2 linked regions of the Arabidopsis thaliana genome follow. The protein of the gene in region 1 interacts with the protein of each later gene in a pairwise test. Each region holds a gene or a part of one and is shown in the gene's direction. Other genes may lie near its edges.

What was found. The genes of interacting proteins can lie anywhere in the genome.
Region 2: the proteins of AT2G27770 (region 1) and CKL2 interact in a two-hybrid assay, tested with the Arabidopsis thaliana proteins (one large-scale study listed by BioGRID).

Annotation. Positions count from the first base shown.
Region 1 is NC_003071.7:11,829,989-11,837,398, reverse strand, and holds AT2G27770 (DUF868 family protein (DUF868)), read left to right. Parts: upstream 1-2,971; 5' UTR 2,972-3,347; coding exon 3,348-4,310; 3' UTR 4,311-4,856; downstream 4,857-7,410.
Region 2 is NC_003070.9:27,369,074-27,378,771, forward strand, and holds CKL2 (casein kinase 1-like protein 2), read left to right. Parts: upstream 1-3,123; 5' UTR 3,124-3,479; coding exon 3,480-3,555; intron 3,556-3,642; coding exon 3,643-3,683; intron 3,684-4,507; coding exon 4,508-4,577; intron 4,578-4,670; coding exon 4,671-4,819; intron 4,820-4,896; coding exon 4,897-4,992; intron 4,993-5,072; coding exon 5,073-5,140; intron 5,141-5,490; coding exon 5,491-5,552; intron 5,553-5,635; coding exon 5,636-5,699; intron 5,700-5,785; coding exon 5,786-5,870; intron 5,871-5,946; coding exon 5,947-6,073; intron 6,074-6,181; coding exon 6,182-6,264; intron 6,265-6,337; coding exon 6,338-6,401; intron 6,402-6,511; coding exon 6,512-6,648; intron 6,649-6,829; coding exon 6,830-7,105; 3' UTR 7,106-7,657; downstream 7,658-9,698. Other genes in the region: AT1G72700 (ATPase E1-E2 type family protein / haloacid dehalogenase-like hydrolase family protein), read left to right, coding at 1-206, 291-379, 482-569, 674-883, 1,014-1,139, 1,269-1,367, 1,446-1,637, 1,732-2,418; AT1G72720 (hypothetical protein (DUF3511)), read right to left, coding at 7,830-8,213; AT1G72730 (DEA(D/H)-box RNA helicase family protein), read right to left, coding at 8,967-9,602, 9,693-9,698. UniProt on the Arabidopsis thaliana protein: Casein kinases are operationally defined by their preferential utilization of acidic proteins such as caseins as substrates. It can phosphorylate a large number of proteins.

The DNA of each region.
Region 1 (7,410 bases):
TCCTATGTTTGACTGAGATGTATAAGAAAATAAATACTGACACATTTTGTTAACAGTCTATTAAGTTATTTGCATAGATTTTCGAGGTCATATTGGCCTTGATTTGCTTTATATGTCACTAAATATGAATATGAATAGTTTGCGATCAGCAATATGATTACACTCAAGAACTTTTTTCCTATATGTGGCCTATTTCAAAAGAAAAAGAAATACCTTATTATTGCACAGATTAGAATCTTAATTATTATAAAATCCAGATCGAACATAAGTTGAAAACATTTTGATTAAATAATCAGAAAGCTCCAAAAGCAAGATACCTATTATTCGGATCTCCATATGTTAGGCTGTCTTTATAAACTTTTACTTTCTTATTTTATTATAACACCAAATAATTATTTTCGCCCAAAACCGATAACGAACGCATAGAAAAGGTTTTAATTGATTAAATTAGTAATTGATAGAAATGGTCATCATTCTTAATTATTAAAGAACCCTCATGTTTCCATCAAAATGTTTAGGATACAATAACTAAAACTCACAAAATGGTTGTCAGTGATTAGTTTCATCATCTCGTTTCGGGATCGAAAAAATGATTTCTACTGTTTAACAAAAATAAATGATTTCTACTGAATGCTTATAAGTTATAATCATTTTGCAAGTTGATACGGTAGTATTTCGATACCAGTGTAACAGTACGGTATTAAAAGAGAAAAAGAAAAAAGAATCTGCAAATATTTTGATTGAACGAATGAATGAAATGCAAAATGTTTCACTTTACATTTTCGCTGTTTCGAGTGGTTTTAACTCTTCTTTTTTATAGTGGATATAATAGAACATATTTTGCGATCTTGGCCATTCCAAAAATCAGGCTATACATGAACATTTATATAAACATATTAGACATCTTTTATGAGTTCTTATAATGGAATTTATGCTCGACAAGAGACATCTAGTGATAATATAATTTTTCTAGGTTGGCTGGATTTTAAATATGTCCAAAGTCCACACCCAAATGTCACGACAAACAAAGCAACCGTGTTCCTTTCTATGTTTATTGGCTTAGTTTGTTTCATTATAGCTATGATAGTATTTATTTATTTTTAAAATTCTGATTATAAAATAGTACTAACGTGTTAATACGAGTTGGATTTTGCTGAGTGTTCGCATAATAGGTTAAGATTAAGAATTTCATCAAAACCGGATCGGATGCAGAACCCCATATATCACTACCAAAAAAAGAATTTTATATCATTTATTTTGAATATTTGTATTACTTATGTCATATAATATATTATCGATGCAATATATAGTTGAATATCATTTCATGGCGGGCGTCAATAGAAGAGATGGAGCTCACTTCGATAAGATAATGTATCTCAAGAATTTAAGAAGGAAAATAGTTTGGTTTGCCTCAAGTTTATTTTCTTAAATTTGTTGTCTTTAAATAATCTCTCGTTCCTTCAATTTTTAAAGCAGACGGTCTCGTTCTTTTGAAATTTTGTTCCCTCTGGATTTGGTAACCCAACTAAAAAGTTTATTCTAAAATTTTATTATTAATGTATAGGTGATAAAAGAGAAGTAATAAATTGGGCTAATTGTTTTGGCTAAAACACTTCTATATCATTTCAAGAGTTTGAATAATCAAAATTTGGAGAAAATCTAGGCCAACACAGGCAAATAAACGAAGTTCCAACATTTGGCGGTTAAGAGAATTTGTACAACCGGCTCACAATTCCTCTCTTAGATCCGATCCGATTTGTTCCGAGACCATTATATCCGGGTTTACTTCTTTTGTTTGTTAACTTCTATGAAGCTTTATTGATTTGCTTTTTTAGTCTATATGGGCACAACATGTCAGTTTATTATCCCAATGAACTCTATCGTATGAGAAGGAGACTCAATCTCAGGTGAGGTGGTATCAATTTATGAACACCAGTAGATCACAATCACAGTCACTTCTCTAGTATCTTGCTTTTAAAATGCCATTTCTACTACCAAAAAAAAAAAAACATGAACCGTATATATATATATATATAATTTCACCTTGGATCCAACCAATTCAAACCTACTTCCAAATAGATTGGATATCTGTTTTATTGGAGTGAATTGGATTAGATTTAAGATATCCCAGTTAAGCAGGTTCATGAAATAATTTAAAAGACAAAAAAAAACATAAACTTGTTCTGTAAAATTTTCTAAGAGTGTAACTCTAATTTCTTGTTATATATTTTTATATTCTTGACATATTCATATATGTAATCCTTCTGATCCAAAATTTTATTAGTAGATTCTGTATACAAACTCCTAATATATCCGATTCTTCAAAACGGATTAAGGATATTTTTAAATAAATATAAGTAAAAACATTTTATTTTTATTTTTGCAACAAGTCTATTATTGGTAGTAGTTTTAGCTGCCTGAAACTTTTTTTTTTTTTTCGTCTATAAATTGTAACTCTCGACTTGACTCCGATGTATGGAACTACAAAAGAAAAAAGAAAAACGTATTCGTAATTACTACATTACGAACCTTCCTTTAATTATATGACGGTTTCTTAAAATATGGATGGTTCAAAACAAATTCTCACTAATTATAACGATTATATTATGTCTATATTAACTGAGAGTTGCTTTGACCATCATTATATTAGAAGAATTCCTCTATCTGTAAATTCAGACATTTTTTCAATCTATATATACACTAATATTTTTCCTAAATTAGTATATGTTTATCATTTTGATCTATATAAAAATCATAAACCTTAAATTCTCTTATAGAAACTTTACAAATGTATCATAAACAATTTTAAGTTAATCAAAAAGTCATATTTGAGTAACACCAAATTTCAATTCCCTTTAGAAATTTATTAATAAAAAATAAAATATTAAAGTACAAAAACTTTTAAAATTAGTTAGCATACAACTATACAATAAAAAAAAATAAAAAAAATATCAACATCAAATTTGTGTCCCCTAGACAATGAAAGCTCAAAACTACTTAAATTCGGCTCCTTTCACCTCCACTCTCTTCTTAGCACACACACAGAGACCTTAATCCATTTCTCTCTCTCCCTCTCTCTCATTAAGAAAAAAAAAGAGAATCAGAGAAGAAATAAAAAGAAAGCAACTCAAATCTTTAACCTACAAAAACCCAGATTTGTTAACTCTCTCATTCTTCTTCTTCTTCTCAACAACATTTGATCTTTTTGATTCTCAAAGTATTCTCAAAGTAAAAGAGAAACACACTTTGTTGTCTCAACAAGCAAGCAAACAAAACCCATCTTGGGAAAATCTCATTTCTTTCCCAAGAAAATCTCATTTTTTCTGTTACAATTTTTTCCTAAGAAAATGAGAGATTTGGTGTCATGTTTCAGTGAGAACTCAATAAACGTGACACATCCCTTATCAATATCATCTTCATCATCATCATGTTCAAAATACAGTACCAACAATGTTTGTATCTCACCATCTCTCATACCATCAATACAAACCTCCATTACAAGCATCTACAGAATCACTTTATCGAAACATCTCATCATCAAAGTCACATGGTGCAATCCACACAACAACAATGGCTTAAGCATCTCTGTTGCATCCGCAGATCAAAACCCTTCAACAACTCTCAAACTCAACACTTCTTCTCGTTTCTTCCGTAAGAAGAAAGGTAACAAATCGGTTGATTCCGATCTCGGTAAAATCGAGGTTTTTTGGGATCTTTCTTCAGCTAAATATGATTCTAACTTGTGTGGTCCTGAACCTATCAATGGCTTCTACGTTATCGTCCTCGTTGATGGTCAAATGGGTCTTCTTCTTGGAGATTCATCTGAAGAAACTCTCCGTAAAAAAGGTTTCTCCGGCGATATCGGTTTCGATTTCTCTCTTGTTTCTCGACAAGAACATTTCACAGGGAACAATACTTTTTACTCGACTAAAGTAAGATTCGTTGAGACAGGAGATTCACATGAAATCGTCATCAGATGTAATAAAGAAACAGAGGGTCTAAAACAGAGCAATCATTACCCTGTTCTCTCTGTTTGTATTGATAAGAAGACGGTGATAAAAGTGAAGAGGCTTCAATGGAATTTCAGAGGGAATCAAACGATTTTCTTGGATGGATTGCTTGTGGATCTGATGTGGGATGTTCATGATTGGTTCTTTAGTAATCAAGGAGCTTGTGGAAGAGCTGTGTTCATGTTTAGGACAAGGAATGGTTTAGACAGCAGCAGGCTTTGGTTAGAAGAGAAGATTGTTAAGAAAGATCAACAAGACAAGCTTGACTTCTCTCTCTTCATTTACGCCTGTAAGACTTGAAAAACATTATAAAAAAAAAACTCAATTTTTTTTTGAGATTTACAAGAAAAAGGTTATTGATTGATTGATTCTGTTTTTAATATTTGAGATATTTTTATGGGGTTTTTTTTTTTTTTGAACTTACAATTTCTTCTTGGGAGGAGTATAGATTTTATTTTCTTTCTTACATTCTTTTTTTTTTTTGGTTGGAGTTGTGATTTAATATTGAGAGATTCCAAAAGATGTGAATTTCTTCATAGGAGTTGTTGTTTTATTTTTATTTTAAATTTGGTTTTCTTACAAATTCAAGAACATTGCCATATCTTAAATTGAAGTCATTTGTTGGGAAAATATTTGTCTCAATGACTCTCTTTCTTGGCAACATTATGATGTTTATTACTATGTAGGCTCATCTACAGATATACGTTTTTTTCTTTCATAAATGTTGAAGTAATTGATGATTATGGTTAAGGAAGAAGAATTGAAGAGTGTGAAATAAGATGAGAATATATTGGGGCATATGTGCACGCCTATAAAGATATGCATGGAGCCTCTTTAAAGTACAAAAGTTAAAAGGTCTAGAATCTACTCATGCTAATTTGTTTTTCCTATTAATCTAACAAAATTTGTGAATGAAGTAAAAATGTAAAATGCTATTTTTTCTTTTGGTTTTAGAATATCAGTATGTGAAAATTTAAGGCATAGTTTATTATGTTTTCAAGTTCCAACTCTAGTTAGGTTATTTTGGTTAGGAATGTATTAGGTGATTAACATCTCGATCATTCAAGGAACAATTTCTTCATGGTTTAGGTGACTACATTGTAAAGTACAAAGTTTTTTCTTTACATTTTTTGTTAAAATTGTTGTAAGAAAATATGTCTAGTAATGGCTAATTTTTAGTTAAGTTGGTTCGGTTAGGCGAGGTTTAGGTGGTGACATCCCATTCAAGCAAATATTTTTTCTAGATTGGTTGATTTGGAGAGTTTTAGGTGATGTAAGTAGTTCAAGCTTTAGTTTTAGAATTTGATTATAGTCAGTCCGAATTTATGTTTTCATATAAGTTTGAGTTTTGATAAATTGGAGTTAACTATTTAATACTATAGAAATTTAGGAGTATTAAAATGATCATTGCATGTAAATATCATACGATTAAGATTAACCATGCCTCTGTATTTAAAGGATATAAGTATTACTATAATACAATAGGATACAAAATAAAGATTCGGTCAACATAACATTACAATATAATTAAAATACTGCTTCGAGTCATTTAAAACTAATCCAGAATTTGAAAGGCTGACAAATTTACCATTGTTTACACATAATAGAAATTTGACTGTTAAACCCATATATAATGAACAAAGCTTTAAGAGAGAGAGATATCGATAGCACGTTTTCACACAACACGATATATAAATTAAAAAACCATGTATGATACAAAATGTAATATGTGCACTATGGGGTGCCTGGACATTCATTACCATTTATTCATTTAAGTCACTAACAACATTTGCATTCCATGAATAATTCAGGTTGCATATTATAAACAAATATATATCTAAACCTTAGAAATATTTCAATTGGATGTTTCATCCATATAACATTAAAGAATGTTTCACATGGTATCACTAATTGCAATTTGATCATGAATTTATAATAATTTATAAAACAAATTTGGTTCATGTCATCCCTCTCCACTTCTATTATATTTTCTCTTAACAAATCTCAAACCAGTTATATTGATAAGCCATTCAGATTTACTTAATTTCGAGCATATACTAAAACAATCATAATGCCTGTTTTACTCTTTCGAGATTTTTATATCGGCAACTTAGTCAAAACAACATAAAGAATTAATAGTTCTACCAAAGAAAACATAAAGAATTTTATAGAATGAACATGATAGCTTGGTGAAGATGTAGTAGGTTTATGGTACCATTTTCGAACTATGCTACAAAAATATTACATTGAGGTAAGGTGATCCACTATAATCCTTATCATACATCCATAGAAACTTATACCAAGTTACCTACCGATGACACCCTCATGTATTTGACCCATTACTCTTTAACAGATTATATATATCTTTCAAGAGTGTATATCTTATTTTGCCAATTTTATTCTAGTAGCTTGTTATACTCTTTGTGATATTATGAAAAGGTTTTAACTCAAATATCATGAACTTCCAAAATCTCCACATATATTTGTGTTTTTTCCCTATATTAGAGCCATTCTTAACATTTGTGACAATAATTTTCAAATAGTGATGATTAGTGAACTTCACCTTACAAATGCATTTGATTGAAGAGGAAATGTCATTAGCCATCATCGCCTTTGCACCCTCGAATGATTCAAGCTTTATGAACCAGTCTTTTGTTAGAGTAATCTGATGTGTACATTGTGAATTTGTGATACATAGTTCTATATGGAAAATCTTGTGTTATACATATCAAATTATTATGTTCTCTTTCTTGAACCCTTTCCAATCCAACATGTTCTCATTTTTACTTGAACTTATATCATTTCTATATTTTGTTTGTTATGTGTACAATCTATCTTGAAATAATCAATGGATTGGCATATTCAACAACCTCGTTTTGATGTCTTTATCCTTGTTATTATTTTTACTTTGAGAACCATATGAGTTTTTTTTTTAAATACACTCTTCATTTCTTTTTTAACTAATGTAAAATTTCTTCCAAAAAAACTTTACAATAAATGGAGCATTTGTTTAAGCGCTTTTAACATATGATTATCGAATGAAAAAATTAGAAACTAGCTTCTTTCTTGTCTTGATACAAGCCAAACCGAAATACAACCTTCGTATCTTCTATCCCATTGCTTTCGTATAGAAGATATCATGTTCCAAACTTTTGAATCTAGTCTTCATACTGTCCTAAAAGCTTTTACGTTTGAAATTAAGTTAGAAAACACAATCAAGTATTACGAGTTTTCTAAACTCAACGCAATCTTAGGTCTTGAAAAATATACTTTTAGGAATTCACTATCAACGTAGTTCAGATAGTTACAAACTAAAGAGAATACGAATTCTCTAACTTAATATATCTTCCATTAATGAAACCAAAGCTTCCCTCTCACCTAAACGTCTCTCCTAAGAAAC
Region 2 (9,698 bases), on another chromosome or scaffold:
ATGGAGAAGCCGGACTCCGTACACTCGCACTTGCTTACAGAAAGCTTGATGAGGATGAATATGCAGCTTGGAACTCTGAGTTTCTTAAGGCCAAAACTTCAATAGGATCTGATAGAGATGAGCTGCTTGAGACGGGAGCAGATATGATTGAGAAAGAACTTATCCTTATAGGAGCTACTGCTGTGGAGGACAAACTCCAGAAAGGGGTATGCATTGTTGCACAGACACACTAACGCCATATTTGTCTTGCTTATGTAAACTGAATTCCTTTTCTTTTTCATCTGACTTAGGTGCCCCAATGCATAGATAAACTTGCTCAAGCTGGGCTCAAGTTATGGGTTTTAACTGGGGACAAAATGGAAACTGCAATCAACATTGGGTTAGAATCTCTGATTTACCTTGAACATAAACTAGAAAGTATATCTGTAATCTGCTTTTATCCAGTGATTTTTATGCACAAATTCCCTTTTATGAACTGCAGATTCGCGTGTAGTTTACTACGACAAGGCATGAGACAGATCTGCATAACATCAATGAATTCAGAAGGAGGATCCCAAGATTCAAAAAGGGTATGTCTAATGGAGTTGCATGATGCATATTGCTAAAGTATGAATTTAAAGTTCCTTCAACTAAAATTTCGAACCTCACTCCTATATTTCTACTGATGTGTTAGGTTGTGAAAGAGAACATTTTGAATCAACTCACAAAAGCTGTACAAATGGTGAAGCTTGAGAAGGATCCGCATGCTGCATTTGCTTTGATTATTGACGGGAAAACTCTAACTTATGCCTTGGAGGATGATATGAAGTATCAATTCTTGGCTTTGGCAGTGGATTGTGCATCAGTCATTTGCTGTCGAGTGTCTCCCAAGCAGAAGGCTTTGGTATGTATATATATATATATCCTTCCCTTATTCGTTTCATCGCATTCCTCCTTGACTATGCAACTCCCGAAACTTCATACAAAAAAAAGAAAATCTAAATTTATCTATTTTGCTCTTTCCCAAATTCAAGGTTGTTAGGTTGGTTAAAGAGGGAACTGGAAAAACCACATTGGCAATAGGTGATGGTGCAAATGATGTTGGGATGATTCAAGAAGCTGACATTGGTGTAGGAATTAGTGGGGTTGAAGGAATGCAGGTTCAGTTTTTCTCTCAGCACCATGCCTTTTCTGTTTTTCAAGCCATGTTTTCTGTTTCTTGACTAGCAGAAAGTTCATTGAAAATCAAACCATGTCGACATTTTTGCTGATCCTTCTTACTTTTGCAGGCTGTTATGGCTAGTGACTTTTCGATTGCCCAGTTCCGGTTTCTGGAACGATTACTCGTCGTCCACGGACACTGGTGCTACAAAAGGATAGCTCAGATGGTAATATGTAGTTCTTTTGGCCATTTTAGTTACTCTTACATTTAGTTTGTTTCTAACCTTATGTTGTTCTACATCCAGATTTGCTATTTCTTCTACAAAAACATAGCATTTGGTCTCACTCTCTTCTACTTTGAGGCTTTCACCGGGTTTTCCGGGCAATCAGTATACAATGACTACTACTTGTTGCTCTTCAATGTTGTCCTTACCTCATTGCCAGTAATCGCCCTTGGTGTCTTTGAACAGGATGTTTCTTCCGAGATCTGCTTACAGGTAAGCTTTATAAATCTCCCTTCTTGAAAAGCTATTTCGAATCTCTGCTGATCATCGACAATAATCTGTGTTTTTTTCGCTTGTGCTTGTGTAGTTCCCAGCTTTATACCAACAAGGCACAAAGAACCTCTTCTTTGATTGGTCAAGAATACTTGGATGGATGTGCAATGGCGTCTATGCATCTCTTGTCATATTCTTCCTCAACATCGGAATCATTTACTCTCAAGCTTTCAGAGACAATGGCCAAACAGCTGACATGGATGCTGTTGGCACAACCATGTTCACTTGCATAATCTGGGCAGCTAATGTTCAAATCGCGTTAACCATGTCCCATTTCACTTGGATCCAACACGTTTTGATATGGGGAAGCATCGGTATGTGGTATCTCTTTGTGGCTATCTACAGTATGATGCCTCCGAGTTATTCTGGAAACATTTACAGGATTCTTGATGAGATTCTTGCTCCTGCACCTATCTACTGGATGGCTACATTGTTGGTCACAGTGGCTGCAGTTCTTCCTTACGTTGCTCACATTGCATTCCAGAGATTCTTGAATCCATTGGATCATCATATCATCCAAGAGATCAAATACTACGGAAGAGATATTGAAGATGCGAGATTGTGGACCCGAGAGCGTACAAAAGCCCGAGAAAAGACAAAGATCGGATTCACAGCTAGAGTCGATGCGAAAATCAGGCATCTAAGGTCGAAACTGAACAAGAAACAGTCAAATCTCTCACATTTTTCAGCTCAAGACGCAATGTCACCTAGATCATTGTAGCCTTGTATAGTGTTTGTTGTTTTTCTACAGGTCCAATTCTCTGATGCATCAGACTTTGGAGACAGGTCTTGAAGCTAATTTTGTTGAGAGTTTATAATAGAGTGAGATCATGTAAAGAGTAGCCTCTGATGTTTTTTCTACTTGTTGGGTTCGAATTTTTCTTTATCTTGTACACATTATACTTAGGTTTTGTGTATACTTAGGACAGAATGCAAAAAAACATAACAAAGAATCTTCCTTCTGTGCCTCTTCTGTGCCTCTTCTGTGCCTCTAATCATTTAATTGGTCATTTATATAAATTTGTTTATACAAAATCTGTTAAGTGAATCTTGACTTTAGAAAAAAAGAGAGAAATAACTCTCAATAGCAGTGATTTGTAAAATGATTTTCATTTCAACTAGAAATAACTCTCAATTTCATTTCATAAGTTTCCACAAAGAAATATTATAGAAATTGTTGCTTTAGTAAATGGTTTCGTATCCACCAATTGGCATTTAGGTAATTAGGTAATGAAATCTCCAACTTATTTGCGTGTCTGTTACTTTCTAGTTTCTAGTGACTTTAGAGATGAAGTGGTTGGCGAATAAATTAACTTACTTTATACTAATATATTAATTTTAATTTAATTAATTATTCTGGGCCGGGTTTTGCCCAATATGGGTTCAGTACGGCCCAACAACTCCGCAATTATTATTATTTTTCCATGGAGAAAATAAAAAAAGAAAAGAATAATAAGAGAGATTTGGTTAAAATGAGAGTGTAAGCAATTCTGAGTCTATCCCTTCCCTTTTGGGATATTTTCGCCGCGTGGATTGATATGACGACTCTCTTTCGCCGGAAGTCAATCGGAATCCGCGACAACTTCTTCCTTCAATCCCTTTGATTTTTTTTTGGCTCTACTTATCCCAAACCCTTCAAATCTTCAGGTCCAATCTCTTCTTCTATTTGTTTTTTAATTAAAAAAATCCGGCGAAAGGTGAAGCTCTTGGATTCGAGTGGTGGCTAGTAATCGATTTCGGTAGTTTAGAAGTAGTTTATAGGTTTTATCAGCTTTCGATTTGATGGAGCCGCGAGTCGGAAACAAGTTTCGGCTCGGAAGGAAGATCGGCGGTGGATCATTCGGAGAGATCTATCTTGGTATCCTCTTTATTCTGATTCACCTCTCGTTTGTGGTCTCTGTGACTGCGATGATTATATAAGTATTTGTTTTAACATGGTTTTTAGGTACCAATATCCAGACGAATGAAGAAGTGGCTATTAAACTTGTAAGTAATTCCTACTCAAAAAGTGGAACTTTATCATTTTCAGTGTTTAATTGAAGTACATAGAATTTAGTATTGCAATGTAAAGTCTGTACGTATATCTTCATTAAATAAAAGATTGAATTTTCTCGGAAAGTGGGAAGAAAGCTTTGATTGTTGTGAGTTGTGACTTATGTGTAGAAAGACTTCTGTTTATTGCTTGGTCTTTCTTAGCTTGTAGCTTCTCCTTTTACATGTTAAAATCGATCGGAATGAAAACGTTGGTGTACTGTGTTTAGACGAAAAAGGAATAGAATTTTATTTAACAGGCTACACACTGCTTTTTCTACTCTGATCATGCGATTGTTGCAATTTAGTTGAGTTCTTCCTTAAGCTTCCTCTTGATTATCTATGACTGTTTTCATTCAGTATTCAACATGATCAAACCAATATTTCTATAGTTTAAATCTGGGTTCAACCTGACTTTTCCGTAAGAACTGAGATCTATTATTGATTCTTGAGCAAATAGTCTAATTAATGCTGAATCAATTCTTAGAGTCCACGACAAAACTACCTGCAACTGGTGGGACCAACCTATTGAAAATTTTGTTGTGGCCTACAACTGGAGAATTATGAGGCTGACAGCTATACATATTACTGTATTGAACATTGGTTGTTTCTTTTTTCTGTTACCTGTTTGTACTGGTTCTGACTGTTGAGTATGTTAAATCAAATCCTCATGCTTGTTTCACATTTCTTTTTTTGCTCTGAAATGTAACAGATTTATCGTAGTTTGGCTACTGTGTTTGTTGTATATGTTCTGACGGCATCTTTTCTTCTTGTTTCAGGAAAATGTGAAAACTAAGCATCCTCAGTTGCTGTATGAATCAAAGTTGTACAAAGTATTACAAGGAGGAAGTATGGATCTAGTTCTGTACTTGTTTACATTTGTAGTTTGTGATGTCTTTTTTCTTATCCAAGAGGGGTTGCTTTCCTTTCCTTGATTTCTAGCTGGCGTTCCAAACGTTAAATGGTATGGTGTTGAAGGGGACTATAATGTCCTCGTGATAGACTTGTTGGGGCCTAGCCTTGAAGATCTATTCAATTTCTGTAGTAGGAAACTCTCACTAAAGACTGTACTAATGCTTGCAGATCAAATGGTAGGATCCCGTCTATAGCCTGAAAATTGTGTTCTCATGTTGAATAAACGTTTAGGATATCTTTGTTCCTCTTTCAGATCAATCGCATTGAGTTTGTACATCAGAAGTCATTTCTACATCGGGACATCAAGCCTGACAACTTTCTGATGGGTCTTGGAAGGCGTGCAAATCAGGTAGCTGTTGAAAAGGGCTGTTAGTAAAATTTGTTTATTCTCCAGAATTATTTGTTCAACGATTTGTTGACTGAATACAGGTATACGTCATCGACTTTGGTCTGGCAAAGAAGTACAGAGACTCAAATCATCAGCATATTCCATATAGGTTGGTTATAGCCCTATGATTTTCTTTGGGTCTGTTATTTATTTACGCCTATGTAGACTTTTTAAAAAAAAAAATCTTTTACTAGCTTGTGTGACTGTTGTCTAACTTAAAATTCTTCTATGTAACACATCCCTGTAAAAGGGTGGAGTCATCTTTATCCTCAGGATATATGGCTATTCAGGATAACTGTCGTTTTAGTATTGACTCAGGATATATAGCTTATTTCCCCTTTTTTTACGAAGATGCATTAGTATATGAGAAAATCATTTTAATGTATTGCTAGGAAGTATGATTGCAGTATATGATGTTTCTTCATATCAATTATAATTCTAATATTTTGTGTATCACAGGGAAAACAAAAACTTGACTGGAACTGCTAGATACGCTAGCATGAACACTCACCTTGGCATTGGTAATACCAGTTCATTTAGTTTCTAACTTTCTAATTATTTTAAAGAACGTAATTCTGGATAGGTAATTGCTATTTTATTACAGAACAAAGTCGTAGAGATGATTTGGAGTCACTTGGATTCGTTCTCATGTACTTCTTAAAAGGAAGGTATGTACCTCTCTTCCGTACCTGTTGGCATGTTGCTATTGGTTCTTTTTCGGCGGCATTTGGCTTACTTATCCAATGTAATGCAGTCTTCCTTGGCAAGGACTGAAAGCTGGCAATAAGAAGCAAAAGTATGAGAAAATCAGTGAAAAGAAAGTATCGACATCTATTGAGGTAAAATAATGTTCTGATACCTGTGTTGGTGACACCTATGGTTTAATACTGATTAAATATTCTATTCTTCTTTTAGGCTTTATGCCGAGGTTATCCATCTGAATTTGCATCTTATTTCCATTATTGCCGTTCTCTGAGATTTGACGACAAGCCAGACTATGCCTACCTGAAACGGCTTTTCCGCGACCTGTTTATTCGTGAAGGTTTGGTCCCCTCAATCACTTATGTTAATTCTAGTCTTGTGAAGCAAATATAACTTGGACCAGTTAATCAACATGTTAATTTGAGTTTGCGTCATCTGCTTATATTAGGCTTCCAGTTTGATTATGTATTTGATTGGACGATCTTGAAGTATCAGCAATCACAGATTTCTACTCCTCCTCCTCGTCATCATGTAAGAATCAGTTTTTCTTTTCCGAATGTCATCGTCCTACTTAAACTCTGCTGAATATGTACCTTTCTTCCAGGGTCCTGTAGTTGGGCCAAGCTCTGCCCTCCCCCCTGCCATTACCAGTGCTGAGAGGCCATCAGGTAGTTCCATCTATTTCGAGTAGTTTTTTTCCAAATTTCATTACGCATTTGGCTATGTTACTCTGTTCTATAGGGGCATGGTTTTCACCCATCTGATGTGTTCTTTGCAGGTGGCGACGAAGCTAGACCTTCTGGCTGGTCATCAGGAATCCCTAGACGAAATTCTGGACAAATTTTTAACTCAGGAAGCTTAGCTAAACAAAAAGCACCAGTTTCAAGTGATCCTGCAATATCTAAAGATGTAGTGGTGAGTACATAAAATTACCCCCCATGTTACAGGTATCCAATTCTTTAGCTGCTGATTTGAAGAAATAAACATAAGGTTCTGTATTGCTTGTATACACAAGGATTGGCAGCTGAATTTTAGTTTCTTGGATTCTTGTTCTTTGTATTAATGGTAACTGAGCTGTTTGTTTTTCTTGTGACAGTTATCAAGCTCTAGCTTTCTCCGCGCAACTGGGTCATCAAGACGTGCTGCTGTATCCAGTAGTCGCGAAGCTGCAGTTCTGGGAACTGATTCTGAGCCATCAAACCCTCAAATCGTTGAAGCTGGATCAGGCTCCAATTCAAAGATCCCTGTTAGTCGAAACTCACCTATCGTCTCATCTGAGATCAACAAGCTATCATCACCTTCAAGGGCGACTACTTCAGTCATGAAGAACTATGAGGCTAATCTTAAAGGGATCGAGAGTCTGCATTTTTAGTCGTTGGGGCCAGTGAATGATCTTGAAACCCCGGGACAAGTGTAAATTAAAAGACAAAGATGACCTCTCTTAGGCCCTCCTCATGTTTTACGTGCATTTGTGTTTACAGGGAGGGAGACTTGTGCCTCTAAGCACACACTCTAATAACATAGATAAGGAAAAGACTCTGAAGAAGTGATTTTCAGAGAAAGACAAACTCAAAAGAGGGCGAGACTAAAAAGTCAAAAGACTTTTAACACTTTTATTCCCCATTTGGTTTTACACTGTTTATGTTGTGTTTGTCTTGTTTGGTACTGCAACAGCTAAAATCGTTTGTGCTTCAAAAAGGTTTTAAGTTCTTAGAACTATTCCTCGGGCTGCAAAAAAACGTACAAAAGAAAGAAGGTTTTATATTGAGTATCTTCTCATATGGTGTGGGTAAAAATGGTCATTTTTGTTGGTAAAAATAGTGAAATGAGAGCTATAATTCATGGACAGATGCAATAATTGTTCTGGTCTTCCTTAAAGAGGATCTGAGAGTTGCATCTTCTGGTTATGTCATACTTCATCATGTCTACGAATGAATCAATGAAGTATATTGTAAATGCTAAATCGTATTTATCGTAGCTTAAGTTGTTACAGCAATCATCATACTTAGAAGGGTACCCTACTTAGAACAAGAATAAAAACAGACAAGTTCAATGGGGGAAACAAGAGAAGAAGATTGGGAAGATTTGTGGTTGGATCACCACAAACCATAGACAGCGTTTGAACAAGTCTCCTTGAACCATTTGAAGCTTTTCTTCATAGATCCTTTCACTCTCCCTTCAACACCATACACATTATAAGAAGCCACTCTCTTCTTCCTCTGAATCTCTGCCTCACACAAACCCTTAAATCCTTTCTTCTTCACCTTATTGCTTCTCTTCGATTTATTGTTGGAGTCGTCTCTCACAATTGTTGGATTCTGGTATGCATTATAAGTTGATGTACTGTAAGATCTCATCATCACTGGTGGCTGCTGGTTTGTTGGTTCTGATTCTGATTTTTCTCCATGACTGAAGCAATGGTACTTGTTGGTGATGCTGCTACTTCTGGTCTCTTCTCTGCATGACTTAGATCTGAACATCTTCACTTGCAAACAAACCTCAAAAAAAGATTGCTCTGCTTTTTTAGGAAGAAAAAGGAGATAGTTGCTTTTGGGTTTTATCTCCAACCTCTTTCTCTTCTGCTTTTTGTCACTTGCGAGTTTTTGACATATTTATAGAATGAGACATCACCTCTATATCTTGTTCAATATTTAGTGCAGTAATCACAACCTCAATACTGTATCTATTTAGTTACTCGAAGTTTTTTTTGTTTGTATATTGTTTTAGATGAGATTTGTTTGTTACATTTAAAAAAAAAACATTACTAGCGATTAGTTATCACTGTACTTAGTACAGTTTTGCATATTTATTTTTCCTAAGAAAATTTTGTAAGATCTCATGTCCTTTGGATTTACACATGGCCGCTTCTCACTTCATGAATTCGAGGGAAATTTTTGGGGCTCGTCCCCAACCTTATGTAGTATATATTTATTGTAAATTCAAGAGTAGAAAACTAGAAAATCAACAAAAGTTCATTAATGAAACTCAAGTAGAGAAAAGTCTTTAGTCTCATAGAGTATCCTTCCTTGTAAGCCACGTTCACAAAAAGATAAATAATGCCGAAATTCTTGATTGCCAAAAAAGCAAAATCATGTAATGAGTTATGTTCGCTTTTAGCCAAGAACTATAAATCTAAGTAGTAGCCTGAAAACAAAAATCAAAGCATAGAGAAGCTGCCAAAAAAAGGGGTAAACACAGCACTTTCTCAGTAAAAAACAGAAAAAAGAAAGGCTTCAGAGAAGATCAGCAACATTGCTTGGCAACTCCTCAACGACCACATTGTAAAACCTCTGAATATCAGCCATCATTCTCTCATCCTCCGATGTCATGAAATTGATTGCTACTCCCTTTCTCCCAAACCTTCCACTTCTTCCAATACGATGAAGGTAATTCTCCGGTTGGGTTGGGAGGTCAAAGTTTATGACCAGAGAGACTTGCTGAACATCGATACCACGAGCAAGGAGGTCAGTGGTTATGAGGACACGGGAAGACCCAGAGCGGAATTCGCGCATGATGATGTCTCTTGTGTTCTGGTCCATGTCTCCGTGTGTAGCTGAAACAGTGTGGTCACGGCTTCTCATTTTGTCGGTTAGCCAATCAACCTTACGCCTTGTGTTCACAAAGATGACGCTTTGAGTGATGGCCAGTGTCTCGTAGAGATCGCATAGTGTCTCGAGTTTCCACTCTTCCTTGTCTACATTGACATAAAACTGCTTGATACCTTCAAGAGTCAGCTCGTCTCGCTTGACCAGAATCCTGACTGGTTTGTTCATGAACTTCCTTGTGATCTCAAGGGCTTCGGGAGGCATTGTAGCAGAGAAAACACCAACCTGAACCTTGGAAGGAAGAAGCTGGAAGATGTCGTATATCTGACAGAGAAATCAAATTATAAGAACAAATGACTTGATTTTATCAGAGAGAAAAAGAAAATGTGAATGGGAGATTAAACAAGATTAAACCTGATC